Kluyveromyces lactis: one gene and its partners. The protein of the gene in region 1 purifies or fractionates together with the protein of each later gene. This does not show direct contact. Links are inferred from orthologs where the notes say so. Each region holds a gene or a part of one and is shown in the gene's direction. Other genes may lie near its edges.

Region 1 (5,627 bases):
TGTGGTTGCACAAATCCACTGTTCCTGTTATACTAGTGTTACAAGATAATCCACTTATGATCCCTTATCTAAGGCATCAATTCTGGTTCGCATGTGGTGAAGATATGGGTCAATGGCAGGATTCCGTGGTCGCAGAATCCATAGTGGACTCTGTATATATGCACCATTCGATAAGAAGGTACATATTAGACCTAATAGTTCACCTTAGGATGCATAGGCTTAGTAAACCTAGCCAGGGTGGAGGAGCACATTCTAGGTCACTCAGTGATATGACTTTGCTTTGTAAATGGATCGCTTTGACGTCTGGATCCTCGTTCATTACTCCCGATATGGTTCAAACTGCATGTGAACGATATTTTCCCTGGCATCTTCAGTTGATAGAATCCTCGAAAGAGGACCCTAGTGTCATGTACGGGTCTCAGGAAGAACTGGTTGACGAACTTATCAACAGGTTTGATACGTTTGCCATTAAGATGGCTCAAGAATACAAGAATCCTTTGTTCAAACAGCTTTGCATAGTTCAAAGCGTGATGAAGGATATCATTCCAGCGACTTGAAGAGACTTATACATATAGAAAAAAAGAATTGAATAGTAGCAATTAATAACATTATTTACATGAATTTGTATTTGAATCCAAGGTTTATTTCTTAGAGACCAAGTTATCAAAGATTGGAATCAAAGTTTGAGCCAGAGCGAAGGAGAACACTAACTTTGGACCGGTGGTCAGTAGCTTAGGAGTCAAACCCTTGAAGAATGCAGTGAAACCTTCGTTCTTCAAAGTGTTCTTGATAATTTTGAAACCACTCTCTGGGTTATCAAAGTTTCTATTTTGAATTCTGGTCTTGATAACATCCAATGGTGCACTGACAATTAATGAAGCAGAAGCACCAACAATCGAAGAGACGAAGTTCTGACTCCAAGTAGCTTGACCGTAATCCTTCAAACCCAAGATATATTCCTTGGCGAAGGCGTTACCACCGAATAAAGCGAAAGAACCTGGAGCGTTTCTGGCAGCGGTCCAACCCCAACCACGGTACAAACCAAACCCTTCATCCTTGATGATCTTTAGGAAACCTCTACCCTTGAAAGACTCTGGGTTAGTTTGTCTCTTGATCTTCAAGACATCCAATGGCAATAGCACAATTTCACCGATACCGATCAAAGAACCGGCAGTAGCAGATCTCAAGGCTTTACCGGTCTTTTCACCAAAAGCTTGATCGAAATCACCCTTGAAGTTCTTGTTCAAAAACTCATTGGCAAATGGTTGACCACCGTACTTGTAAACACGTTGCAAGATCTTATAGGCAGCAGCGTACCCCAAACCAGGGAACAAAGACAACAAACGTCTACCCAATGGTTCAGATGCAAAGTCACGGAAAATAACACTGTTCAATTGAGAGGTCGAGGCAATCTTGGTATGGTTTGACATCAATCTCTTGGAAATAGTGTCCACAGGATGGAAAACACCAATTTCCAAGATACCAGCAGAAGCTGAACCTAAGACACGGGCCAAACCCGATTGTTTCTTATCGTTGGTAGTCATCTTTTTTTCCAGCTCTTCTTAGTTCAAATGGATAAGAAATTAAAAGAAAGACCCTTTTCACCTAGTGAGATTCCTGCTTCTACTCTTAATAAACGTTGTTGAAAGTTTCGCACGAGAAAGAAAGGAGCCAGATGCACGTAAAGGCAAGATAGATAAAAACAGTGATGATTCATTCTTGAAAGAATCTTTGATCGATATCTCGAAAGGTTTTTTTTAAAAGAAAAAAGTGTGGTTTCGTTACCCGGATCTGGTGATGTTTTCGGTTTTTCTTTCAACCGAGCAAAACGTTACAAGATGCAGGATTAGGATAAGGAAACCTTTAAAGACGATGAGCAGAGGCAAGGAATAGAGGCCGTATGATTCATTATTTGAGCGCTTACTAGTATCCAGAGGCTTAGTTTGTGGTAATAGTAATTGTTTGCTATATTTTGGTACACTTTTTTCCGAGTTTTGTTGGGATTTCTCTATGAGTTCTGAAGATGGTTCTAATGCGTTAGAGGAGTTTAAGACCACTTTGGATGGTCTTACGTTTAACTCTCGGCCTATAATTACTACCTTGACGCAGTTAGCAGAGGAACATATGAGTTTAGCACAAGAGTTTGTGGGTTTGATTGAAAATAGACTGGAGAAATGTGTTCCTAGTCAGAAGCTTTTCACTTTCTATGTAATGGATTCTATCTGTAAGAACGCTGGTTCTCCGTATACGATCTATTTCTCTAAGAATTTGCATAAATTGTTCCGTAAAACTTATTTACTTGTGGATAATCAGACTAGAACCAAGATGATTTCAATGTTCAAAACGTGGATGGTGCCATTGCCTGCAGGAGACTTGATGTTCGATCATAGTTCTTTGAACAGCATCGAGAATTTTTTGATTAAGGCTAGTGCGTTGCATCAGAAAAGTGCTACTCCGCCGGCGATACAACAACATACCGCTCACAACGGACCGGCTGGGTCGAATATTACTGTGAAATCGTTACTGTCGGATATTGATAAATTAGCGCTGATTACGCAGTCGAAGCTAGTAAGTACACCGGATGACGCCAAGTTGCAGGCAAAAGTAGCGATATTGAAGCAGTTGAGACAAGAGTTGCAGAAGGAACGGTTGGCACCGGAGTTTTTGTCGCAAGTTCATCAGCAGCTCAAACAGATTTTTGCGCAAGAACATCAACAGCAACAACAACAACAGCAGCAGCAGCAGTTGCCATTACAAAATAACTCTCAGTTTCTGCCGCCATCATCTCAAGGTTCTGTAAACAATGATATGTCTCGTGGCTCACTCCAGGCGAACGGTAACAACGGCTCGATGTTCGGAGGAAGCCTTCAATTTAATGCTCCATTTTTGAACCAACTGACCAACTCTAACCGTCTCAATAAGCTTTCTAGTTTGGTTAACATGTTGAGAGAAAAAGAGCTCTTGCATGAACCTGGAGAAGCATCTATTACTACCTTAGCTGCCAAATTAGAACCTGAATTTGATTCCTCCAAGACAGTGCAACTACCGTCATATTCACTTTTACAGGATATTCTAGGTGATCTAGAGGCGCAACGCCAGACGCAAAACCTAGATATTTTGAACGCATCTGTCCTTCAGCTTTCTCAACAGTTTGTTCTTAATGATAACCATCCAATTACGGAAAAGTTGGTACATTTCTTATATCGGGCAAAACCTAATAAATGTAGTATATGTGGTAAGAGATTTGGTAATACTCTTGAAGAAAAGGAGTTGGAAATACAACATCTTGATTGGCATTTCCGTGTCAACAAGAAGATTAAAGGTATCCAGTCCAACACCACTACATCTACCAAGGTCATTCAATCCAGGAATTGGTATTTGGATGAAAATCAATGGGCAGACTTTAAAGAAGAAGACATCATTGCAACAGATATTGATACTGGAGCTGCTGAACAGCAACCTACATTTGCGAACAACAGGGAAGATTCTACTGATGCAATCTATACTAAACTCAGGAATAAATATATTGTAGTACCGGATTATGCCACAGATATGAAGTTCCAGTGTCCTATTTGTACCGAATCCACATATGGTAAATATGATGAAGATCTGGGAGAATGGATTTGGAGCAACTGCGTACAGGTGGGAGACAAATTCTTCCATGCCACTTGTTATTATGAGGCAGCTAAAAGTCAACAGTCAAACACCTCCTCATCTCCATCATTCCAAAATCTTCAATTAGATCTTGGTATTTTTAACGAGCTGCTTCAATGAGTTGATGAATAGCTAGTGCTGATCAATTGTATATTCGAACTCTAGTTGGCTTATCGGCATGAATTTCGTACCATTTTCTTCTACAAATTTCGTTCTAAATGGAAGTACGAATATAATATAGTGCTATATGGTATTTATATATATATATACTTCCTAAATGTTACAACTGCATTATAGAAAACATATGCTATTTCATTACGGCTATCTATTGCATAGAAGTGCTTTGGATTTTGTTTTTCTTCTTACGGGAATTCTTTATCTCGACACGCTTTAATTCGGATCACGTTCCTTCGACTCAGCTTGGTTCTTCAAAATAGCGGTAAGTTTCTTGCGTTCCTTCAGTAACCGAACGATGGTTTCTTTGAGTGCGACGGGATCCTCCCCGTTAGGCCGAGGTTTATCGACTTTCTGGGATTTTGACGAATATTCTTCGTAACGGTCCACTTTTTCTTTAGACTGACTCAACGCTGTTTCAAGATCCTTGACTTTAGCTGTCATGTCCGCTTTTTCATTAGCCATCTTTGCAATAGTTGACTCTAATCTCTTAATCCAGTGAAGACGGTCCACTACATCACGTATTGATAACTTTTCTTTTTCACAAAATACACTCAAAGGGCCTACATTCGTTTCAAGTTTTGTTAGCGTTTTGATTCTGCGCTGTAGATCTAATACTGTCATATTCAGTTTCCTTACTTCGTCGTTTAGAATGTCTTTAGTTAAAATTTCATTCTCATCAATATATGTGATCGCCCCGTTAGATTTTGGTAGCTTTTTTGGGGCATTTTGTTCATACTGCGCAGGAGTCAATGATGATTGCTGCACTTCTGAGCCACCAGAAATACTACGCTGTGTGTTTTGGCTGTCATAGCTTGACGGTTTCAATTTTGATTTTGTATTAGATGATATTTTTGAAACCACGTCTTCTAAACTCTGGAGTTTATTACGAAGATGTGCATTCGTGCTGCGCAATTGTGCGCACTGTTTTGAAGCTAGTGCAACTTTAGAATTCAACTCATTATACTTATGTTTCTTTTCTGATAATAGATTTCGATAAGTAGAGCATTCTGTCTGGAGATGTTTTGCAGCATTATGTTGAGCCCGTGCATATAACCTAGTGCTAGACAGTTCTGCTTGAAGTTCTTCAAGTTTCTTTCCGTCCAAAGGAGCTGCCGGCTTAACTTCTTCATTGATATCATTTTTTCCATGTCTGCTCAGTAAAGCAGCCTTTAAATTTGACACCTTTTGCTTTTCAAGTGCCAACTGTGATTCAAAGTGAGCTCTTTCACCTTCAAGTGTGTCTCTGAGCTGCTTTATTATAGGATGATTCTCTACTTCCCTATCTTTAATCCGTTTGATCTCAAACAAACGCTCTGTTACATTTTTGTTCAACGCCTCTATTTCTACAAGGTCTTTTTCTACCTTACTAATTAGCTTTCCATGAGCAGCTGTTAGTGACTTTTCTCGAGCCTGCTCATTATTTATCGATTCAGTTTTATCTTTATTGTTCACTTCAGCCTCCTTGGCAGTTCCTGCCGAAAAGGACCCTTTAGATTCTAGAAGTACAGTATCAAGTTCTTGGACTAATTTTGCTTGGATCTTCTCAAGTTCCTCTAGTTTTTCGCGAAGTTGGTGGTTGATACCAACGAGTGAAGCAATTTTCATCTCAGATTGAATAATTTCAGAGGTTAAGTTCTGGATAACTTCAGTCTTGTTTAAATCTTCATTTACCAAAGATGACGAACAGGTATCGTCTTTCGATATCGAGGCTCGTAATGCTAGATATTCTTTTCTGAACTGAGTGACATCTTCACATTTTTCAGGATCAAAATGTAACTCATCTTTACCTTTTTTTG
Region 2 (6,378 bases), on another chromosome or scaffold:
AAGATAGTGGTTTAGGATTGAGGAGTATGTGCTTTTTCCAATGCCTATATGTTCCCTTTAATGATGAGAGATTAGCCTTTGTAAGCTTACATAATCTCCTGCCCTTTTGGCATGGCTGGGCCATGCAACGAGATTGCAATTAGGGTTTTTAGAAAATAGTCTGCAGTGACCGTTACCGATCGTGAGCCGATCTCCTAAGGTGCTTCCAGAAATAGTATGCGAGGTTTCATTATAGGGATACTCGGCTAAATCATTCAATCATATACAGATATATACAAATTCATTAGAAAATACTACGTAGGCTCTGATTTTTATGCATTAGTATCTATGAATTCGATAACATCATGCTCGGACAGGTTAACGTAGTTGGCACCATTTGTAGAAAGTAATGGATGCAGTAGCGACATTGTACCAACGGGCAATTGAAATACTCGTTCTCTTGTTTCGTCCATTCTTTCTCTTATAATAGATAATTGGAATGCTTTCAATTTAGGGATACAGAACCGTATCTTATTACGATTCCAATCTAGTTGTAAACTTTCGAGCAGATACAAAGATCTGTCCCATTCACGAGCCTTCTCTAGCTCTCTTGCTATGTGACTTTCGTTTATCGTAAGGCACAATTCAGAATCATTTGTGAGATTTGGAATGATCACATGTTGAAATACGGCGCAGTCCCAGATGCTTGAAAGTTCGAATTCCAACCTTTTCAATTCTTGGATTACCTGTTTACAACCGTATATGCTTCTCATTTGATCCGGCTTACATTCTGGTGGTTTCAATTCCTTGTCGTCTGAATTCAAGACGAGGTTGTCCAACGTGAATGGGATCTGTGCGAGGTTCTGTAGTGACAGCATGTTTGAGATTTTGAATATGATTGTATCAACGTAAATTGAGTTTGAATAAACCAAATCTTCCCATTCTGTATTCACTGGACACCTGTAAGACCTTAGGTTCCCAAAAGCACAATCGATGAACTTGACGTTACCCCAGACACTGTTACTAAATTCGACACATAGGGATCGAATGTTGCGGCATTTGATGTTCTTGAAATTGGCTTCTGAACACATTGGGGATGCCCTGATTGTCAAAGATTCTCTCACGAAGGATCCATCAACAAGATCCCTTTCAGTGTTACTATTGTAACTGACGAGAGTTAAATGGTCGCATGGTGGTAATACAACTCTCTTTCCTGGTGGCACTTGGAATTTTTCAATCGTTTTAAGCAGGGGACAGTATTGTAGATCATCGACTATTGTAGTGTTATCCTCACATTGCAATTGATTCACTGTCATAATCCTAGGTGCAATCACTTTCTTACCCCTTCTTATGTTCAAAGTGAACAGCGTTTCCACGTCATGTAAATAAGTAGTCTCAAATATCGTGTCGATATCAAACATGTCAACTTCCTGGTGATTAATATCTCGGTTGGCGAATATATGTAATTCACATAATCGTAGTTGGCTTTGACAATGGCTTAGCTCTCTGAAATAGAACTTGGAAAGGAAATTGGTAGTCGTCTTATACATGAAGCATAGATTCTTTAGAGTACCCATCCCACTTAGCCCTCTACTTAATTCACATAATGCCGTCGCCAATGGGTCACTGTAGCAGCGATCGGATACGATGACAATGAGAACGTTGTCAAACTTCCGTAGAAATTCGCTCAACACAGGAAACTTGAACGTATCTGTATTTACGCAAGCGGTGTTTCTCTCATCAGATAACAACTCATAATTGCAAGGATCTGCTAAGGTTTTTGATGATTCCCTATCCAAATCCCAAATCTTCAATACACCAAGCTTGCGCTTTATAATTGTTCTAAAATGTGAACCAACCTTACTCCATGCTAACAGACTCTCTAGACTGTCTAGTCCGCTAGTTACTACACGATCAATAATTTCGATCGGAAGACTCATTACTTTTGTACCCTTAAATCTTCTTCTCCTCCTTCTTATCATTAGCAAATCTGTCAAAAGTGTCAACTAATGCAGCTTATCTTGCACGTTGTAAACTAGGTCCTTATAATTCAACTGATTTCAAGTACGCTGGTATATCCAAGATGCCTTTAGACTTCTTCCAGTGTTTGGGTCAGTTGAGCAATCTGTTCCGTAATCTGTCGCTTTATTCTTTAATATGCTGACTCAACCTCAAAGAACGTTCGGAATACATTTTGACACTTAAAGTACCGATAAAATTGTGGATTTTGTTGCCTATAATTGTAAGCAATGAAATATGTTTGATATTCCACCTACTGGACCGTACCAACCTACAGATTGCAGCAGTATCTCGTCCAATAACAACTTCCCTGTCTCAGTTTGGCCTCTTAATCCTTCTTACTGACATTATATCTCATTACCCGGACATAACATGTCAAAATGATACTCAAGGCATCAACATTAAGTTCATTTAAACAGTACATGCAAATAATTGAAGAATGAAGGATAAAGGAAGAAGAAGAAGAGATTGCCGGCACTGAGGACACCTTTTCCTTTCCCATTCCAACCAGTGGATTCTCATTGTTTTTCAAATATAGAAGTAACTGTGCTCTCAAGATGACATACACCATCGAAACATGTAGGGATGAGAAGAAGCGGTTTGAGGGAACCATTGTACGATTCAACAATGTAATAGTATTATTGGACCCAGGATGGAACGGTGAAGGCAGTTATGAAGAATGTGAAGAGTTTTGGACGCAGTACATATCTGAAGTTGACATTGTTCTGATTTCCCAGCCCACAATTGAATGCCTTGGGTCCTATGCCATGATGTTTAAACAGTTTTTGCCTCATTTTAGGTCGAGAATTCAAGTTTATGGGACGTTACCTGTATCAAATCTAGGCAGAGTCAACAGTGTTGACCTTTTAACTTCAGTTGGGATATTAGGACCGTTTTCTAATGCCGTCATGGACCTAGAAGATATTGAAAGCTCCTTTGACTTGATTGAAACGGTGAAATACTCTCAAACGGTGGATTTAAAGAATAAATTCGATGGGCTCTCATTAGAAGCACATAACTCAGGGTATGCTCCCGGTGGTACCATTTGGACGATAATCACTTCATCAGAAAAAATATTGTATGCGCCTCGTTGGAACCATACAAGAGATACTATCTTGAATAGTGCGGACCTATTAGACAATACTGGAAATCCAACCAGTTCCATGATGCATCCGACTTCTGTAATAACCAACCTTTCTATTATAGGCTCAGCTGAACCTCAGAGGAAAAGAGTAGAACATTTCACTGATACCATGAAAAGAGCTATACAAATGAATAACTCTTTACTGGTACCAGTTGAAGTAGGAGGGAAACTATTGGAAGTACTAGTCCTAGTTAACAATTTCTTATATGAAAATATGAGGGGTGGATTGAAGTATGATATTCCGGTGTTTCTAATATCTTATTCAAGGGGCCGTTCTCTCACATATGCTAAATCTATGTTAGAATGGTTGTCCTCGCAAGTAATCAAGACCTGGGAATCTCGAGACAATCGGTCTCCATTCGATGTTGTATCTAGATTGAGGATTATTACTCCTGAGGAATTGGGAGGTTACACTGGGCAAAAGATCTGTCTTGTTTCCGAAGTTGATGATATTTTGTCACAAACGATAAACAAACTTTGCTCTAAAGATAAAGTAACGATCATATTGACAGAGAGACATCCAAATACCCCAGCACAACATCCCTTACGAAAACTTAATGATAAATGGCAACAAGCAATAAAGAATGGGAGTAGAAGTGCATTGGATGGCAACCCCATTAGCATATCTGATTCGATGTCACTTCGAATCATGAAGAGAACAATTTTAAACAAGAAGGATGCGGAGAAGGTGAGAGAAATGATTAAAACTAGAAATGAGGTAAGAGAGAAAATTATCGAAGAATATACGGCTAAGACCAATGACAAAGCTCAAACAAAAACAATACTTTTTGATGTTGATGATGAGAGTAGCGACGAAGAAGGTGTGGATTCAATGGATGCAAGAGGCAAGAATGGATCGGGAAACGTTAAAGTGGAGATTCCCGTAGATATTACTTCCAATGATAGTGTTTCCACAAATGAAAAGCACCTTATGTTCCCATTCCATCCAGCAAAGCTTAAATCTGACGATTACGGTGATGTGGTCAACTTAAAGAGATTCTTACCACAGGAAGAATCATATGACCAAGCACAATCTTTAAAGCAATCTTATAGTAATAACGATTATGATGAAGACGATGACGATGATACATATGAGGTACTTGATTCGCGGATTAATAAATCAAAGAAAAGAAAAACAGATCATAATCCTAGGAAACAAGAAAATAATGATGATATTTCTTACTTGGACCCATTGAAAAGTGACATTTATAAACGAGCAATTGTGGAAACAAAAGTTAACATTCGTTGTTCTTTGGTATATATCGACTTGACAAGCATAGTTAATGCGCGGTCGATAGCAATCATCTGGCCTGCAATCAAACCAAGAAAAGTCATTGTGCTGCCATCAGCTGCTCCTGTTGATAACCAAGTCGTGGTTAATCTAACAAAGAGAAATATTGACATATTGGTGACTGAGTTCAATAATTCGGTTGAGATGGATACATCTGTCAAGGCAATTGATATTTCTATCGATCCATCGCTCGACCAACTTCTAAACTGGCAAAGAATCAGTAAATCTTTCACTGTGGCACACGTTGTTGGTAAACTATTGACAGAAACTGACCCAAAAGCCCCACATCGGGAGAAGGTTATATTGAAACCGTTAAGCAACCCGTTAGCTTTACATTCTGGAAGTTCTCTAAGAATCGGAGATGTTAGACTACCGGAATTGAAAAGAAGACTAACTGCGGAAAATCATAAAGCTGAGTTCCAAGGTGAAGGTACACTAGTGATTGATGGCAAAGTTTTGGTTCGGAAGATTAATGATGCCGAAACCATAGTTGATGGTTCACCATCGGACGTATTTTACAAGGTCAAATCGGCAGTGTCAGACATGCTAGCCAACGTTTAAATTGTTCGCGGAAGCTTTCTATAAACGTGACATCGACTTAGATATTAATTAATTATAGTAATTTAGCATTGTAGTAAAGCATTTATAGATCAGTTGTAGAGCTGACCAATGGGGTATGTATGTCGGGATTCAAACATCTATTCTAGGTCTGGCATTCTTTATCTGGGGGGGTTAGAGGGCAAAAAATATACTCCGCGACGGGGAATTGAACCCCGATCTCGCACGCGACAAGCGCGAATTCTAACCATTAAACTATCGCGGATCTGTACTTGAGAAATAGAAAAACTTTGCACTACAGGTTCGCTCAACGGTTGCAGAACACTGATTTCGTTGGAACTAGTCATAATGCATGACCGGGTGATACCAATATAATAGGCGGTTAATGATAGTTTTGTGTCACTGACACATAGCAAAGTATATAAACCAGTACTCAGATCTAATCTACTAATTAGTAGGGATCAGATCTACAGACACCAGGTGCATCTAATTCTACTAGGAGATAGATAGCTAATCAAGATGAATTCTTCTAATAAAGATCTGACAAGATCTAAGCCACGTGACATGTACAGTCATATACCACAACAGGTAGCCCGAATATGAAACTCAGAAAATCCCGATATTCCACAAATACGACTCCGTGGCCAAGCTGGTTAAGGCGTGCGACTGTTAATCGCAAGATCGAGAGTTCAATCCTCTCCGGGGTCGTTTAATTTTTTTCCCCTTTTGCTATCTGTTGTTTTTTTTTCCTTTCCTATTTCTCACCTGTTGCAATTTTTCTGGAATTCCCGCTTAAAGATTCTTTTTTCCTCTGAGAAGTCTCTGAGAAGTTTTTTTTGTTTAAAGTTTTTCCCCTTCGAAAAGAGCGCTCGCTTGTTAATTCGCTTGAGAGTTGCATATTTTCTTTATTTTTTTGTTTATTTCATTTACTTATTTATTTGGTTAAATTTCAGTTGTAATTTGCTTTACTTCATACAAGTTTTGTATTTTGAGCAATAAATTTTACACCGTTACACATCTCTTCGCTCAAAAAAAACACAAGCAGCACAACAAAATACATACACATTATCAATTTATTGCATTTGAATAGAACTTACAGTTTCTAAAGCTACCGCCGGTTTTTTATCCAATCTTTTTTGGCTATTTTCCAGCCGCTCCGAAACAAATACAAATTATTGCATCTTTTTTTTTTATTGCTTTTGGGTGATGAGCATTGATACGCTGCCATCACAGCTGGCAGCTGCGCCAGCACCTGCCGCCGCAGTTACTGCTTCCATACCCAGGAATCCATCAGATCCAGTTGATGGCCTGCCAAAGGCAGGCCATTTACAGCAGCAGCAGCAGCAGCAGCAGCAGCAGGCTTCTGTGCTGAGAACAAGATCAAGAA
Region 3 (6,021 bases), on another chromosome or scaffold:
CGTCTCGCAGATTAGCGCCCATTATATCAAGGCCATCAAAAGCAGAAACCAAGGGGTAGTTCATCGCAATATTGAGGAACTTTCCTAGATTCTTCTTGTTCATTGAAATGAATTTGTGGAGTTCTTTCAAATGTTTGTACAAATCCTGAAGCAAACGTTTTCTTGTTTGGTAAGTGTAGTTTGAAGTAGGCCAAAACAATCTCGACATATCAGTTTCCAAGTTGTGTATAAGATTGAGAACTTTCAGGGAGTTGTATTCGAAAATATCAGGAAAGAGTATTAGATCTTTATAATTCAAAATATACTGGTCCTTCAACACCATTTCCACTCCATTAGCTTTATCACCGTCACCGTCTATTAGATGGAGTAATTGAAGGATACTCGCACGCTTGAAGGTATTTAGTACAGTTTCGTTGTCGTGCTGTCCTTTGACAAGAAGGTTTATGACTTTCAACATTAAACCACTTTTAGGGGTCGGCTGTTTAGTTGCTGGAAGTGGATGCACCTGAGAGGTGGTATATTTGTTAAACATTGATCTAATCCCCAGATTTTTCTCTGCATTTTCTTCTTCTGATGGTAGCGCCTTCGAGTTAAGTAAGGAGTCACTATCCAAGTCATAGTAAAAGTCCCATGCATCAACTTGGTATTGGAAAATAGGGTTTGATACACCTACTACACTGAAAAAATTCCCTTTCGTGAACTCCTCCGTGAAGTTTTCTCTGAACATATCGATTATTGATATTTCCATGTATGGAAAAATGCAAATAGAGGAATTATCAAAATACTCCGAAGAAAACCCGTTTATGAGATTGGATAGGGCGAGTACAAATTGGCATAATTCATCCTTGGAACGCTCTGTGGAGTTAATAATTAATCTCCAAGAATATGTGGAATCGGGAATTTCAGTTAAGAGAGGAATTAATCTCGCAAGTAATTTCAAAATTGAATTATTATAATTCGTATCTATTTTTATGGCATCATATTTTATTAGATCAATTTGCAAAGGAATCCTCGTAAAATAAGCAGGTAGAACTTTGGGACGGAAAGTAGAGAACTTATATTCAAGAATCCTGTTTTTAAATTGAATCTCATTTCCGAACTTGTCTTTTTTGGGCAGCTCATTAACCCTAAGTATATTGGGCAAAGAGTTTTCGTTTGCATCAAATATTTTGGATGTAATTTCTTCGTCATTGATAGAGTTTAGAATATTTTGTAGTACAACATTGGAATGGAATCTTATGACCAAAGAGAGATCAAGACTGTTAATCATGTCAAAACAGTCTATAAGTATTTTAATATCGTTGTTATTCGATGTCATGTAGTGATCAAGCACCATTGTTAACAATGGTTTAAATGTGTAAAAGTTTGTCATAGTAGTACCCAGTGCAATGGCTTTTATATAAGCACCGCGATCATTTGAATTATCTAAAAACGTGTTCACGACACTTAAGAAAAATAATGGTGGCTCAGTTTCCTCTAAATGCCTATCATCTCTAATTGATCCAATCTTACCACTTCGCAGTCCATTTTCTTGTTCTTCTTCAAAGTCTTCCTCTTCAATTATCAGTGAGGAATCCAAGTCAGTACCTTTAGTCTTATTTTTGGATACAGGAAACAACTGGTAAACGTTTTGATTCTTGTATAAGACAAAAACAGTGAAATCTGGTTTACCTGGATGGTTCTCCACACTATTCGGTATCATCAAACTGGCCAAATGAGAACAAGTGGAATCACTCCCAATAGTTTTAAAACCAGGGATTGTCTTTGGATATTGATGCTTTATTATCGGCCCAGATTTGTTATCAAATTCTGCCGCTATTATAAATTGAACATTGGGGTTAGAGTGTGTGTGTTCATTTTGAGATTGTCGTAGGTGAAAGTTCAATCCTGTTTTTACCTTGGAAGAGTGTTTCATAACTGGTGAACGCGCGGTCTTTCCTCTTTAATTACAGAGTCAGTCCGTTTACCACCTGACCGTCGTTCGGAGATTTAACTTGCCAGTGAGACGTCTGTATCATTTCGCTGTAAAATAGCACGATTTTGACCCATCATCGTCTTTCTTTTTGAACCGATCAAATAAAATGAACCAAATAATATCGCTAACAGTGAAATAATCATGAAATTACCCGGACTGTAAATGGATTCAATTCGGCTTCTATTCGCTTATGACAGGAAGGCATAGAAGAATGTTTGGATACTAAGCGTTGTAAGATTCCCGCCACAGCCTACTTGGGTCTATCTGCGGAAGCGATCCATTTGAACATAAGATTGATCGAATAGCTGTCTATCTTATATATCAACGGATTTTACTTTTCAGTTGTTGCGGCCTTACAATTCACGAAATAAAGCTAAACGATGTTTGTTGGAAACAAATGAGTCCCCTCGACGAAATTATGGAGCATTATCTTTAGTCTTTGAAATGACTGTTATTCACAAAAATCTTTATCATGTCAGGAATGAAGTAAGTACACCGTTACATATGCAGCAGATCTTAGAAAATGACAATCGTTACCCTCTTTTGTTGATCGTGCTGGTTTTGATTTTCTTGAAAAGAATTGGACAAAAAGTTTGATATTTGATTTTTTTTGTATAAAAGGAGCCATAGATTTTTGCCCATTGGAATTTTTTTCCCTTTTTCCATGAAAGTTGTTCTTCAAATTTCTCTTTGTTTCTACTTCATAAGGCAAGCAACTTTATAAGTTATTTCCTTCGAATCAGCTACCCATCAGATTCTTTTTTTTACACTCTCATAAGCAATGTCTGCTCTAGATCAATCATTAGATGAAATTATTGGCTCAGCCAAGCATGCCAGAAGAAACAACAAGGCCGGGCCAAAGAAGGTTTCTAAGCAAGTCAACAAGAGCCGTACCAGAACAGGTGCCGGTCCTTCTAGAGTTCCAAAGAAGGCTGCTTCTGCTGCTGCCCTAGTGCCAGCTTTGCTAAGAGCTCCTATTTCTACTAGAGTTAATGTCGAGGGTTTGCCAAGAGACATTAACCAAGACGCTGTTAAAGTATGTCCCATTTTAGCCATGGCCTCTTAGTAGGTTCTTTTCTAATGAAAAGGACTGTCGAGATGCTACTGTACTGATTGCGAAAACAAATCGGATCAAACTGCAATAAGACTTGCGGTTAATTTAAGTTTACAACGGATATATCCTGTGGAATTCCATCCTTATGTTTACTATACGATCATACATTCCCGTGTATTTGATTAAGAAGAAACGGTCGATCGATACCTTTTTTGAGGTCTGATATTGATGTGTGAATAATTTATTTCAGAGTTAGTTTTTATTGAGCTAATGAAATATAACAAAACGAAATTAGCTATCCAATTGGCTGGGTTTCGCTTTTCAGCAAGCCTTCCTTTGTGATTTCTTTCCGTTTTTCTCCTCTAAGTTGACAGAACTTTTCATCAAAATTATGCACTGAACTTCGTTTATTTACGACATTTTATTTGATGGAGAAACGGTAGTGAATCACGATTGGGAAATGCCGAAAAGATGAAGTATATCTATTTTTTCTCGTCATATCTTCTATTCTTGTGACATTATGTGTCACTGGAGTTTCTGTTACCATTTATTACATTTGGCAATGCATCTATTTTTTAATGATGCCCAGTGTATTATTCTCTTTTTTCTAACTCTTTGCAAAGAACTGGGAATTTGAAGAAGATTACTTGGTGTACACCTTGTAGGAACAATTAAGTTTGACCTCTTCCTTGGTGTGTGTTTAGCTTGATGCCTCAATCTTCAAGATAGTGCGACATTTTTAGCAAGGTCGTCGTGTTTGACAACTTCAAAAAAATTGGCAAAAATTGAAACGCCACTGAAAAGCAAGTTTCAATGAATGTAATAAATCGAGATGGGTATGCTGGATTTGAAATCGATTTTCATTTGTCATTCTGCTATGAACATGTTCTATCTTGTCTGGTTGAGATCTCATCACTGACTCCAGATTTACTCTCCAAGAAAAAAAATAGAAAAGAGAAAAGTTATAGTATACTTACTTTTTGTTGGTTGTCATGTTAGATCCTACCTTCAAATCGAAACCTAATGAAACCCATTTGTGGTATATTTTACTGTTTAAGAGTTAACTTCATATCGTGACAGAATTGACCGGGTCGTACATGTATGATGAATTGTAAACATGAATGATTTCCTACAGGACTATTCATTGAAGACTCCGCTGTTTTCAGTTATCTATGAATAGTTTCACTAACAAAAATTTTGCTCCCTTATTATTACTAGGAATTTTTCAACCATCAAGTCGGTGGTGTCCAAAAAGCTTTGTTGAGTTACAACGAAAGGGGTAACTCCACTGGTATGGCCACTATTACCTTTAAGAACGCAGAACAAGCTAACTTAGCTGTAAAGAAATTCCACAACGCACCAATTGATGGTGGTAAATCCAAATTGAGATTGACGTTGATTGTCGATCCAAGCAGAAAGACATTATTGGACAGAATCCGCCCTGTACAGAATGCTCAGGCTGCCGCGCCAAACAAGAAGGCAGCTCCAACAAAGCCTCAACCTAAGAAGAAACCAGCCGGTCCAAACAAGAAAGCCATTGCTGCTAAGCAAAAGAAAAGAGCTAAGCCAGAAAAGAAGTCTTTGGAAGACTTAGACAAGGAAATGGCTGACTATTTTGAAGAATCCAAATAAGATATTGCGTTCTTGAAATTACTGGACTGAGAAATTATAAAGTCTTCCTTAATAACGAACGGATTGTCTCTGCTTTCGAATCTATTCGTTAGACATCCTAGAAGTTCAGTTCATTTGTTGTTTGTTTTATATTCCTCAATTTCAACCGGTGTGACTGCGTGGTTTCTCAATCAAAAAAATCCGTATCTTTCTTATGTGCTCGGCCTATCTTTTCTTACCTAGCTAAACTTTATTATAATATTGATATCAATAGTTTGTATTTTATTTCACTTTCTTTAAGCACTATTTACATGAGGAATCTTTCAGTAAAGAACAGGATATATTTCTAGATTGTTTCATTTAGTCATTGCAGTGTTTGTGTGTGTTGTTAATAAATAAGTGTGATGGGTAGGTTCGTGTATTGCCTTGCAGAATTAAAATCTTGCTTATTAATCATTCGTTACTTCTTCTATCCAAGAACCCTAATCTATCACCACGCTTTCTTGTATTGTAGGATAAACCGGCCCCTTCAAATTCACTTTTCCTTTTTATTTCCGTGGTTTCTTCTTCTTTCTTCATGGGGAACCCTGGTTTCACCAGAGCAGGGTTTGCGTAATAAGAATCTGCATCTTTCTTCTCATCCCCACTCAAATTCTGCGGGTCGAACTTGGAAACTTTAGCATCACGTACAACGGTCTTGACGATAACTATAGAAGCAGTAAGACCAATACACAAATACGCAAAGTTTCTACCAATATTTTGGAATGGGTTAGACATTTTTATTGAAAAGATTGTATCTACCAAGTTTGCTCTCTGATGCTAAATGCTAGAAACCAAAAGCCAAATAAAAATAAAAACTCAAAGTTGGTATATGGTTCGTCACTCAATCCGAATAGTTCCTTCTTCCGTTCAGGATCTATTTTTTTATCAACACGCTCTATGATGCTGTTCTCAATCTGTTTTTTATTTAACTGATTCCTCTACTACTTTCGCTCAGTATCTCTGATTCCTGCTCATATTTGAATTCAAATCTTTATTTTCCTTAGATTTCTTTCGCTGAGGAAAGGTTCGCCGTAACCCATTGCGGAAATAAAGAAAGAAAGAAAAAAAATGTTGACCTCATGGTGATTTCACCTTATTCCACACACCATTATCATACAGATTGTAATAACGTTAAGCAACTACCTGTTCATTTATTTATTTGTGCCTAGATATTGACCGAGTTCGAGAAGCTGCAACCTGCAACCTGCAACCTGCAAGAGAAGAGACTAGTATCTTCGGATTGGACGAATTAAGTAGACAAGAAAAATAGACCGTCTCTCAGCATGAATACTCCTAAATCTTTCTGGTATGTTAAGATGACACTGATACAGAATTTCTA
Region 4 (6,353 bases), on another chromosome or scaffold:
TTCTACGATGGATGATCTAAGGGCTTGTTCTGTGTGTTTGTATGTAATGGCTGAAAGATCAAAATTTGCAATCATTTTCAGGGATACGTTCGACCAATTGATGAACGCAACCATAGGTAACTTAATCGAACGTTGTGGCCCAGATTCCTCGGAACTAATTTACGTCACCAGTTCTAAAAAGGGCGAGACTACTCCTACTCTAATATCCATTCCAGATAGGAATGCTGACAATGATGAAACTTCGAAAGATATAGATAGAAAGGGGATGCCACCAGCAATGAAGAGAACGTTTGGAGAGTTGCAAGTATCTGCTCATGCTGGGTTTGTCGAAAATAGTCAAATTGATCTGGAAGAGCAAAGAGAAAGAAAGCGTAAACAAGGTGTACTTCAAAAGACTTCTGTTCCAAAATCTTTATCACATTTGCTTGTTAAGGTAGAGGATGAAGATGATGGAATCGATGACAGCAAAATAACGACTTCGAAAGCCTCATTAGCTCATAGCCCCGATGAGTTAAGCAAAGTCGACACTCGTTCCACTTCTGAGATGGTAACACCACCAGAACAAGTCACTGCCAGGAACAAATACATTGTCAAGAAGCCTGCCAATGTCACAGAATCCGACTGGGAAATATTCCAGCAGCAAGCATTTTTGCAACAACATCAAGCGCAGCAAAATTTACAGGCCTACCTTTCTTCATTAAATGGTGCTTTCGAGAATAACAATGCGCAAATGATGCAATCTGCCAATGGGATGGGGTCTCATGTGAATAATAGGACAGCAACTACTCTGCCCCCTCAACAAAATCAAAATTCATTAAATCCCATCACTCAGAATCATCCTTCACTGTTTAGTGGTGGTGCTGATAATAAAGCATCCGTAACTTCATCTGACATGTCTTCCCCAACCGGCTGGCAACACGGAAATGCAGACATTTTCCAAAAAAAGCAACCAGCCAACTTTGTAAAGTCTCCTAACACACCGTTGCACCCAATATCATTCTCCGTCGGTCCTTCACCCAGGCCGAACGATAATGGTATAATCTTCAATAATGGTACCCATACGATGATCAACAACATCTCCACATGGACCAACGACTCGGTTTTGGATTTGATGAACAGTAATCATTACGTAGATCCACTGAATGGAGGCAACAATATGGGCAACCTAAACGGATCTTTACAATCATCAGCGACAACAAATGATCAAAAGACTTTTGTCATGCCCAATCGAGACAACAATCCTGGCACTCTGAATAACTCCCTGAATTGGAGAAACTCTTCATTTACCAACATGAATATGAACTTCAATCAACCAGATAATCAGCAAGGTCAAAGACCACCGCAACAGCAACAACAACAGCAATTGGAAGCTATGTTGTCAGTTCCCGTTGAAGAATTTTGGACCGTTAACGACGATTATGGATTCCTCACTTGAAGCCTTCAATTCAAACGTTGAACACCTCTACAGAGGATATTCCCCGTAATTAAAGAAAAAAATACAACCATTTTTCATACTAAGTGTTAATGTCTTATGTTTCCGTCATTCCACAACATTTCGTTTTCATTCTACTCTTTCCTTTTAATTCAAAGAGTATTCACTCGTTTTTAGTTGTAATATATATCTAGCAAAAAAATTTGTGTTTACATACATTCTGCAGTTTAATTCGTTTCATTCCATTTTACCAACACACTTGCAGTAATTTAGCCAGATGTGACCTGATCCAAGTAAATAAATCTAGTCACGTGACCTATCCTGTTCCCTTTACCCTTTGTTTCATTCTGATATATTGTCGATCAGAAATTCTACATATTATTATTTCAACATCTACATAGTAAGGGAAAACAATCAGTTTAAGATAGGTGTTAGAACCCGACAAGCAGCAAGATTCTCACTAGAAACAGTACGTAACGACATTTGTTATCAAGATGTGTTCTCAAATCATCTTAGGTTGCCTTCAGCCCTCTCTTTACTAACTTTTCGTTATCAATATCTACCTCTACTCCCTCTGTACACCAATATGCTATTTCCTAGTTTCTCACTTTTTTCTCACTTTTTTCTGTAAGACATTAAAACCAGTTAACGTTTATTGAAAATCTTAGCAATTCAACATAAAGAAGAGTGTCCTGTCCAATGGTTACCGAGCAACCTCTGTTGGTATTCGGGCACTCATAACAGATATCGGGGGGCTCAAGCAGACAGTAACTTTTGACGTGTTTGTGAGAGCATTTTGTCTGTCCTTTGCATTGTCAAGAAATGACTCAATTGGAAAATGAGGTTCCAGACAAGGACCATCTTCGCTTTTTCTCACTAGGAGGATCCAATGAAGTGGGGAGATCGTGTCATATACTTCAGTATAAGGGCAAGACTCTAATGTTAGATGCAGGTATCCATCCGGCCCATCAAGGTTTAGCTTCATTGCCCTATTACGATGAATTCGATCTCTCCACAATCGATCTTCTTTTAATCTCACATTTTCATCTTGACCACGCGGCATCATTGCCTTATGTGATGCAACGAACGAATTTTCGTGGTAGAGTATTCATGACACATCCGACCAAAGCTATATATCGTTGGCTTTTGAATGATTTCGTCAAGGTGACCAGCATAGGAGACAGTCCAGGACAGGATTCAAGTAATGATAATTTATACTCTGATGAGGACTTGGCTGAGTCCTTTGATAGGATAGAAACTATTGACTATCATTCCACTATGGAGGTAAATGGTATTAAATTTACAGCGTTCCATGCAGGTCATGTTCTTGGAGCAGCGATGTTTCAAATTGAAATCGCTGGTGTTCGTGTATTATTTACTGGTGATTATTCAAGAGAAGTGGACCGTCACCTTAACTCTGCTGAGGTACCACCTCAGTCTTCGGACGTCATAATTGTGGAAAGTACATTTGGTACCGCTACTCACGAACCAAGACAAAACAGGGAAAGAAAGTTGACCCAGTTAATACATACCGTGGTATCTAAGGGAGGACGTGTTCTTTTACCGGTGTTTGCCCTTGGAAGAGCTCAAGAAATCATGCTTATATTAGACGAATATTGGCAGAATCACAAAGAAGAACTCGGAAACGGGCAAGTACCTATCTTTTACGCATCAAATCTTGCTAAGAAATGTATGAGTGTCTTTCAGACATATGTTAATATGATGAATGACGATATTCGTAAAAAATTCAAAGATTCTCAAACAAATCCATTCATCTTCAAGAATATTTCTTACCTCAAGAATTTGGATGAATTCGAGGATTTTGGTCCCAGTGTCATGTTAGCATCCCCAGGTATGTTGCAAAACGGTCTATCTAGAGACATTTTAGAAAAATGGTGTCCAGAAGAAAAAAATCTGGTTCTTGTCACTGGTTATTCTGTAGAAGGTACAATGGCAAAATATTTGTTACTAGAACCTGAGGCTATTCCCTCGGTACACAACCCTGAGATAACTATCCCAAGACGTTGCCAAGTGGATGAAATAACATTCGCTGCTCATGTTGACTTTAGGGAAAATTTAGAATTTATCGAGCTAATTGGAGCTAGCAACATCATTTTAGTTCATGGCGAATCCAACCCAATGGGTCGTTTAAAATCAGCCCTTCTTTCTAATTTCAGCTCTCTCAAGGATACTGAAAACGAGGTTCATGTTTTCAATCCTAGAAATTGTGTCTTTGTTGATATTGAGTTCAAGGATGTTAAGGTTGCCAGGGCAGTTGGGAAAATTATTGAAGATCTCGATGAGTTTATAACTGAAGAAGACGCACTAAAGAATGAGAAAAGAATCACGGAAATCCATGAAGAGGATCCAGAAACAGAGGAAAGTAAAACGGAAATTGTCAAAGAAGAAAATGAGAAAATAGTTTCAGGTATATTGGTGTCAGATGAGAAGAATTTTGATCTAAGTTTAGTTTCGCTTTCAGATTTAAGAGAACATTATCAACAATTATCTACTACAGTTTTGACAGAAAGACAGACAGTCCACTTGGACTGTAAAAGCGAACTAGTATATTGGCATATCTGCCAAATGTTTGGTGACGTAGATGTATACATTGACGAAGAAAACGTCTCATTGAAGAACATCAATCCCGAATTCAAGACGAGGAAGATAAAGAAGGGTGAACTAGAAATAAAAATCATGGGAGATGTAATATTAAATATAGTTGACAATGTAGCTACATTGCAATGGACTCAGAATGTTATCAGTGATTCAGTCGCGGATAGTGTCATGGCAATTCTACTGAGTGTCGAGAGCGCTCCAGCAAGTATCAAAATGAGTTCGAAGTCATGTGGACATCATCATGGACACGATGATCACACGACTAAAATTAAGAACATATCGAGAGTTTTCAAGGAACAGTTTGGTGATACTTTTACATTATTTTTGAATGAGGAAGACTCCAAAGAAGAAATAAAAGGCACTATCAACTTAGGAAAAACAACAGCATGTATAAACTTCTCAAAAATGGTTGTGGAAGAATGTAACTCTAATCCATTGAAAGGTAGAATAGAGAGTTTATTAAAAATTGGCTCCGACTTGGTGGCCCCATTGTGTTAATCTGTCTCATATATAGATATGATTATATATGAGCTAGTCATTAATCATCTTTTTGCATTAACTATATACTTTTCAACCCTATACTGCCATCTTGCCAAGGTGTTCCTCTGTACTAAATAATCTATTAAAACTTTAAAGATGCATTCAAGTTTCAATTAACTGAATGAACATATCGTTTTCGACAAGTTACAAAAGACACCAAGAGGACAAAAAACCATTTACTAAACTACTAAACGCGATATATATATATATATTCTCATTATAACAGTAAATTTTAAATCAATCTACCAATACCATGGCAAAATCAGAGCTACAGTGAGGTATTTCATTCACATTGCCAATCCAGAAGAGACAAGATAACTCAATCACGTGACTCATAAATCCTTTTGCCTGTGTAGTTTCTTTTTGCACCTCAAGAAAATTTTTGGGAAGCTCATCTCATCTCATCCAGAGTCTGAACGTACAAGAGCTGTAAAACAGGCTAAATGGGTCTCAACTATCAGCAGCATTAACCTTTTGATCGAAACTTACAACCGAGGTTATAGTTAAAGTGTTCGACGAGAGCTAGAGTCCAGAAAAACGCTTCAATATGGCTCAAACAAGCGCTTCCCAGGGATACATTGATGATTCTTCTTCTTTCGATTCGTTCCACTTGGATTCACGTTTATCACAAGCCATCCGCAGTATCGGCTTCAAACACCCTACTTTGATCCAATCCAGTGCGATACCATTAGCTCTTCAAGAGAAAAGGGATATCATAGCGAAAGCTAGTACCGGCTCTGGTAAAACTTTAGCATATTTGATACCAGTGATTCAAACAATTTTAGATCATAAGAAGGCAGATCAGAATGATGAAGGTGCCACTCTAGGGGTAATATTGGTCCCAACTAGAGAATTGGCTCAGCAAGTTTTAGAAGTTGTTGAAAAGCTCATTGTTTTCTGTTCTCAAGAAATTAAATGCTTAAATCTTTCATCGGGTAATGTATCGGGAAACTTATTGAAATCTTTACTTACCGAAAATCCAGAAATATTGATAGCTACGCCGGCCAAGTTAGTAGATTTACTAGATGCGCAAGATGTTAATATTGACAGGTTGAAGTTCTTGGTTATCGATGAAGTTGATTTGGTGTTAACTTTCGGATACCAAGAGGACCTTACGAAGATTTCAGAACGCTTACCATTGAGAAAGAGTTTACAAACTTTCTTGATGAGTGCCACTCTAAATGACGATATCCAACACTTGAAGCAGCAATTCTGCCGTTCACCAGCGATTTTGAAACTTAATGACGACGAAGTCAACAAAGATCAAACAAAGCTTATTCAATATTATGTGAAGGTTGGAGAATTTGATAAGTTCCTATTGTGTTATGTGATTTTCAAACTGGGACTAATTAAGGGTAAGACATTAATCTTCGTTAACAATATCGATAGAGGATACAGACTAAAGCTAGTTTTAGAACAGTTTGGTATTAAATCTTGCATTTTGAACAGTGAACTGCCAGCAAATTCAAGACAGCATATCGTAGAAGAATTCAACAAGAACGTTTATCAACTGTTAATAGCTACAGACGATACTGAATATATCAAAGAAGAAGACGAAGACTTAGAATCAGAAAAAACTGAGGATGGTTTAGTTGAGGTTGTCGATGATTCCACTGTTACTACGAAAGACAATGCAAAGAAACAAAAGAAGCCAAAGCTAAACGTGGAGAAAGACAAAGAATATGGTGTATCTCGCGGTGTGGACTTCAAAAATGTTGCCTGTGTATTAAACTTTGATCTACCAACCACTGCAAAATCGTAT
Region 5 (5,652 bases), on another chromosome or scaffold:
CCGGGCAAATCGACCAAGGTTAAAGTTAGCACATGTGGCGAATATACTCTTAAAGTGATTGGAACCGCAGAAATCCCTGCATTCTTCCCGGTACTCTTATCGGTCTCCAAAACGATCTCTTTTCTAATTTCGTTAAAGTTGAAAAGCTTTTTACCGGGCAAATGACCAAACTCACCCCATTCTTCTGCATTGTCTTCATTTTGACCACCATTGGCTGCACTGTTATCCAAATCTAACAGCTCTTCTGTAGCATGCTTAGTCTCCTTCTTGACCCTACGGTTGATCAATTGTAAGATCAATGGTCTTCTGGTAACAATACCGGTACCACGAGGCAAGAAATCTCTACCGACAATGTTTTCCAACACAGAAGATTTACCAGAACTTTGAGAACCAACAACGGTAATTTGTGGTAAATCAATCGGAGTCTGAGAACCGCCGCCTAATGGAGCCAAAGCATCCTGTAACTTATTGATCGTAGCAATCAAACGTTCATCCATGTTGCCAGTTTATTTACTCACAGTATTGGGCTTGATCTCAATTACAATTACAAATTGAGAATTCAAAATATATCTCTGACCTAACCGATTAACTTTGGATGTAGTAAAGGTATATATAAAAATAAATCTCTCTAGATATTTGGAATATCTCTCTCGAGTTGACTAGAATTGATTTTGATTTGATGTTTTTCTTGTTTTTCCCCTTTTTCGCCACCAAAAGTTAGAAAAAACCAAGTATTACCCGGAAATGGTTAGATCTGCCAATCTAACTGGATCCAGATCGTATCCAATAGATAGCACAGTCAGTGAGCCTATTTAGCCAGTAGCCTCTTATTCAAATTAACGGGGAGAAGAGTTTCCAAACGAACTACAAGGGCCCATATAAAGGCCGACTTTCACTGTCAATGGGATAGTTTTCTTGTTTTTTTCGGATGCCGTTACAGATCTACACACGAAATACAAAGGTTTTGTAATCATCAAATATCTTGATTCTTCCATATCTGGATTTTCGTTTATATATATGCATATACTTCCAATTGAATTATTGTTGGATAAGATTTACAGGAAATTGAACATACAATTTGCAAATTCAAGCTCGCTCATTCTTATGATTGGGGTCTTTCACGTAATTATTGATTTTTCCTGGGTCTTGAAATCGATTTTGAATTTTTCTGGCTTTAAAAATTTAGTACAAAATGAAATAATATAACAAAGTGTGAACTTTTGAACTTACTATACCTTTTATTTGGTTTGAGTGTGTGAACAGGAGAAGCTAAAGTTAAAACCAACACTACATATCCCTTTGGTCCAAACTTGCCAGTACCTTCAAATTGAACTTCTTAATTCTTTCATTCGCTGGACACTCCTGAGACAGAATTGGTAAAGGAAAGAAATAAAGGGAAACGGAATTCTCAGACAATACAATATTAACTGGCTGATTTTTTTGTCTACACACATATACACACAGTCTCTCTCTATCTGAATATAACTGGATAGTTTGTGCTAGTTACGTTTTTAGTTCAAATTAGTGACGAGCACATCTTTTGATATTGGTCACCTGTTACCAACAACAACAACAACAAAAGAAGTTAGTGTCAGACTCACAAATACTGAAAAAAGCCTTTGCATTGGAACTTTGGTGTATTAACTCTCGGAGATTATACACATCCGACACTTATTTGATTATCCTCATCACGAATTAACTTGTGAGGAGTACTTTTGACGGTTCTTTCTGATCTAGGAAGACGTAGCAAGTCAAAACTCATTCAGGTTGTCGACTTCAGTACAAGACGCACAGGTTTTCAAGGACACTTACGATAATTCAAGGACGGTGATTGGCGACCAGTTGAATTCAATAAGCTCGGATCTTGCAGGGCTCAAGGTTTCCGGTTGTGATATCACTTCTGAGGTAGTACTAGGTGCAGTAGGGCTAATAGAAGAAGAAGAGGAAGGGGGAAAAAGTTCAGAATCTGATAGTGTAGGATCATCTCCCTCCAGACAAAGAAACCGGCATTTAAATCTCAATACAAGCCGAAACACATATCAGCATCATTTGCAACATCACCACCATTATAATCAAAGACAGCAGCATCAGCAACAATATTTCAATCAGCCAGGGCTACATTACGTTTATTATTCACCGGCTAACTCACCAACATCGTCTCCAATCTCAAAGAAGTTTCAGAACTACATTCCAAGAAGACAATCCGCGGACAGCCTTTTAAATACCGGGGGAAGTGATTATCTGGATAGAGCAAGGAATAGAAATATACCAGATTACAGAAACAAATATTATCCCAATACAATGTCCCAGAAAAAGATCTTTGGTGTAACGGGCCCGATTTCCACGGAGGGTCCCACTGCTGCCGAAAACGCATTAAACGATTCATTAATTCAACAGCTTAAGAAAGAAGGCTCTTTCGAAACGGAGGAAGAAACTGGGAAGAGAGTGGCAGTATTAGAAATCTTCCAAAAATTGACACAAGAGTTTGTATATCAGGTTTCAAAGAAGAAAAACATGTCCGATGGTATGGCTCGTGATGCTGGTGGTAAAGTATTTACCTTTGGTTCTTATAGATTAGGGGTCCATGGTCCAGGTTCCGATATTGATACGTTGATTGTGGTACCTAAACATGTATCCAGAGAAGATTTCTTTACCGTATTCGATGCTCTGTTGAGGGAAAGACCAGAACTTGAAGAAATTGCGTCAGTTCCAGATGCTTTCGTCCCAATTATCAAGATCAAATTCAATGGAATCTCCATCGATTTAATCTTTGCTAAACTAGATTTACCCCAGGTTCCAATAAGTTTAACTTTAAGTGATAAGAATTTGTTAAGGAACGTTGATGAAAAGGATCTAAGAGCGTTGAACGGTACCAGAGTCACCGATGAAATTTTAGAATTAGTGCCTAATAAAACATCTTTCAAGATTGCATTAAGAGCTATTAAGATATGGGCAAAGAGAAGAGCAGTATATGCAAACGTCTTTGGGTTCCCCGGTGGTGTCGCATGGGCGATGTTTGTGGTAAGAATCTGCCAATTGTACCCTAATGCATGCAGTGCGGTAATAATATCAAAATTCTTTCAGATTTTATCACGTTGGAAATGGCCACAACCTGTCCTATTGAAGCCAATCGAAGATGGTCCTTTACAGGTCCGCGTGTGGAACCCCAAAATATATGCACAGGATAGATCCCACAAGATGCCTGTGATTACACCAGCGTACCCTTCAATGTGTGCTACCCACAACATCAGTGAGTCAACTAAGAAAGTGATCTTATCTGAATTACAAAGAGGTGTAGAGGTCACACAAAAGATTTTCTCTAATGAACTATCATGGGAAGATTTGTTCAAGAAACACGATTTCTTCTTCAAGTATAAATTCTACCTAACGGTTATGGTCTCAACAAAGGGTTCCGACGAACAACACTTGAAATGGAGTGGATTCGTTGAAAGTAAGCTCAGATTGTTGGTCCAAAAACTAGAAGTTTTACCAGGAATCAATCTGGCGCATCCATTTATTGAACCATACGAGTCCAGCTATATATACAATAATGAGGATGAATATAAAGAGATCATGAACAACTACGGTACACATAAGACAGAAGGTGTATTGAAAAAGTTTACAAAAATAACTGATGCAAACAAAGACGATGAAGCCTCCAAAAACTCTAATCAAGTTCACATAGCCACGATGTTTATTGGACTTGACATCAACACAGAAGAGAGTAAAAAAATTGATATACACATTCCATGTCAAGAATTTTTCAATTTGTGTCGCTCATTACCCGACTATGAGGACCCTGAAACGTATTCTTTAATCATCAAGTATGTGAAAGTGCATGACTTACCGGATGAAGTCTACCAAGAGGGGGAAACACGTCCTGTGAAATCCAGCAAGAAGAGGAAACCGGAGAAAAGTGGTGAAAAGAGTAAAAGACCTAAATCCGATCCGTCCAATGGCAAGTCTACTACTACTACCAGTGGCAACACCAATTCTTCTTCCCCAGTAAATGACGCTAATTCCACTCCATCATCAAATGTCCCAGCAAACAGTAATACCAATGCTATCACCGAAGACCCAATGACTGCGACAACATAGAAAGTCTTACGATCCGTTCATACTACCTCTTCAGGGTTCGCATAATGCATCATGGCCAAGGCAACGTGAGTCTCCCCTCAAGCCTTAGCCCCAGTCATTAACAAAAGTTTCTCTACATTGAACGCGACACATAAACTCAACTTTCCCACTAGATAAACTAAGTAAAAAAAAAAAAACGTCTCATATCACAGAAAAGAACAGATCATTACTATAATAGTGAAGCTGTCCGCCACATACCCCATTGTTTTGCATAAACCTACCATCTCTAATCTGAATATTTTTGTTCTATCATCAAATATGTTTAACTGGTACTTATTTTTAGTCAGCTATGTGCCTTATCTTGATACATAATTGACAGATGCGGACAAAAAGAGTCAAAGGAAAACCACAAGAGATAGAAGGTTAGCCAGTTAGACACTGATAAAATCCGAGAAAACAAGACGTTACCGATACCCGAACAGTATCATCTGGTTCAGCCGCTGTTGATTCAACAGGCAAGTTCCTATTTCAAGTTTAACTTACAAATACACCCATAGTGATGAAAGAAAGCCACACTTTTCAGTAAAAGAAAGAAGCAACGTGACAGAAAGAGATCGAGTAATGGGAGTGAAGGAAAAGAAACAAGAAGTTGAAATTTGAAGGTAACTTAGGTAACAAGTGTCTTGTGAAGGGTTTTTATCTGTCAAAGAGGTTCAAGAAGCCATTTAAGGGCCATTTTCGAAAGGCTACTTTCTTTCATTTCGCCCAGCACTTGGATTTTGCTTTCTTTTGACGCAATTATTTCGTTTTTCCTCTTTGTACCCTTGTTTCTTTGTATTAATTATTGTGCCATCGAGCTAATTCGGTTTTGGGCTACAGAAGGGCTCTATTTGAATGGCACTTCTCAGTTATAAGCCTTGTTTCGTTCTTTCTTGTTTTTGGTTCTCTTGATGAGAGGAAGCTGTGGCATGCTACTACTTGATATAATTAGTTTTAGCACATTAAAGACTTTACTTAGTAGTTTGGTTTTTACAATGAGCTTGTAGAAGACATAAACTGTGTAAAACTATGAATATTCAAATTCACACTGTGGTTACTAATAGCTTTTGATCCCAAGGTTGTGTGTGGTTTTTTGATTATGTATCGATATCTGTCATTTGGACAACGCCAGTTGGCCACTTCATTGTATAAATACGATACCAATAGTTGATATCTAGATTTTTTTCTTTTCTTGGCTTTCGTTATTCTCAAATCGGTTAACCTTTGTGTATCGCATACGACATAAAGCACATATCTCATCGCACAGCTGAAACGAGACGAACATTCAAGATGTCGGGTAGTCGATCATTTCTCTCGCAGTTGAACGTGTTCAATAAGGATAACTACGAGATATCTACTGATTCTAAAACGCTTGATACAGACGCCAATCCTACTGGTACTAGCGATGACAATAGATCTGTTGAAACAGGTGAACATTTCGATGTCGAATTGGATAAGGGATCTAAGAAACTTGGGCTCATCTCATGTATTGGTCTAATCTGTAATCGGATGTTAGGTACCGGTATCTTTGCCGTA

Evidence for each region.
Region 2: the proteins of PCF11 (region 1) and CFT2 purify together in Saccharomyces cerevisiae (affinity purification with mass spectrometry; 4 studies listed by BioGRID, with this or other methods). This does not show direct contact. The link is inferred for Kluyveromyces lactis from reciprocal best matches to the Saccharomyces cerevisiae genes PCF11 and CFT2.
Region 3: the proteins of PCF11 (region 1) and YRA1 purify together in Saccharomyces cerevisiae (affinity purification with western blotting; 3 studies listed by BioGRID). This does not show direct contact. The link is inferred for Kluyveromyces lactis from reciprocal best matches to the Saccharomyces cerevisiae genes PCF11 and YRA1.
Region 4: the proteins of PCF11 (region 1) and YSH1 purify together in Saccharomyces cerevisiae (affinity purification with mass spectrometry; 4 studies listed by BioGRID, with this or other methods). This does not show direct contact. The link is inferred for Kluyveromyces lactis from reciprocal best matches to the Saccharomyces cerevisiae genes PCF11 and YSH1.
Region 5: the proteins of PCF11 (region 1) and PAP1 purify together in Saccharomyces cerevisiae (affinity purification with mass spectrometry; 3 studies listed by BioGRID, with this or other methods). This does not show direct contact. The link is inferred for Kluyveromyces lactis from reciprocal best matches to the Saccharomyces cerevisiae genes PCF11 and PAP1.

Annotation. Positions count from the first base shown.
Region 1 is NC_006042.1:1,242,563-1,248,189, reverse strand, and holds PCF11 (Pcf11p), read left to right. Parts: upstream 1-2,010; coding exon 2,011-3,774; downstream 3,775-5,627. Other genes in the region: MTC2 (Mtc2p), read left to right, coding at 1-557; GGC1 (Ggc1p), read right to left, coding at 642-1,544; KLLA0_F13420g (chromatin-silencing protein SIR4), read right to left, coding at 4,045-5,627. UniProt on the Saccharomyces cerevisiae protein: Component of the cleavage factor IA (CFIA) complex, which is involved in the endonucleolytic cleavage during polyadenylation-dependent pre-mRNA 3'-end formation and cooperates with cleavage factor NAB4/CFIB and the cleavage and polyadenylation factor (CPF) complex.
Region 2 is NC_006041.1:1,061,712-1,068,089, reverse strand, and holds CFT2 (cleavage polyadenylation factor subunit CFT2), read left to right. Parts: upstream 1-2,555; coding exon 2,556-4,994; downstream 4,995-6,378. Other genes in the region: KLLA0_E12035g (uncharacterized protein), read right to left, coding at 312-1,919; serine/threonine protein kinase SAT4, read left to right, coding at 6,198-6,378. UniProt on the Saccharomyces cerevisiae protein: RNA-binding component of the cleavage and polyadenylation factor (CPF) complex, which plays a key role in polyadenylation-dependent pre-mRNA 3'-end formation and cooperates with cleavage factors including the CFIA complex and NAB4/CFIB.
Region 3 is NC_006041.1:254,203-260,223, forward strand, and holds YRA1 (RNA-binding protein YRA1), read left to right. Parts: upstream 1-2,756; coding exon 2,757-3,011; intron 3,012-4,247; coding exon 4,248-4,661; downstream 4,662-6,021. Other genes in the region: AFI1 (Afi1p), read right to left, coding at 1-1,915; COI1 (Coi1p), read right to left, coding at 5,094-5,417. UniProt on the Saccharomyces cerevisiae protein: RNA-binding RNA annealing protein. May have a role in pre-mRNA metabolism. Component the TREX complex, which operates in coupling transcription elongation to mRNA export.
Region 4 is NC_006039.1:417,787-424,139, reverse strand, and holds YSH1 (cleavage polyadenylation factor subunit YSH1), read left to right. Parts: upstream 1-2,254; coding exon 2,255-4,549; downstream 4,550-6,353. Other genes in the region: KLLA0_C04620g (uncharacterized protein), read left to right, coding at 1-1,435; DBP9 (ATP-dependent DNA/RNA helicase), read left to right, coding at 5,139-6,353. UniProt on the Saccharomyces cerevisiae protein: Component of the cleavage and polyadenylation factor (CPF) complex, which plays a key role in polyadenylation-dependent pre-mRNA 3'-end formation and cooperates with cleavage factors including the CFIA complex and NAB4/CFIB. Has endonuclease activity.
Region 5 is NC_006038.1:1,160,588-1,166,239, reverse strand, and holds PAP1 (polynucleotide adenylyltransferase PAP1), read left to right. Parts: upstream 1-2,301; coding exon 2,302-4,098; downstream 4,099-5,652. Other genes in the region: dynamin-like GTPase VPS1, read right to left, coding at 1-497; MUP1 (Mup1p), read left to right, coding at 5,407-5,652. UniProt on the Saccharomyces cerevisiae protein: Polymerase component of the cleavage and polyadenylation factor (CPF) complex, which plays a key role in polyadenylation-dependent pre-mRNA 3'-end formation and cooperates with cleavage factors including the CFIA complex and NAB4/CFIB.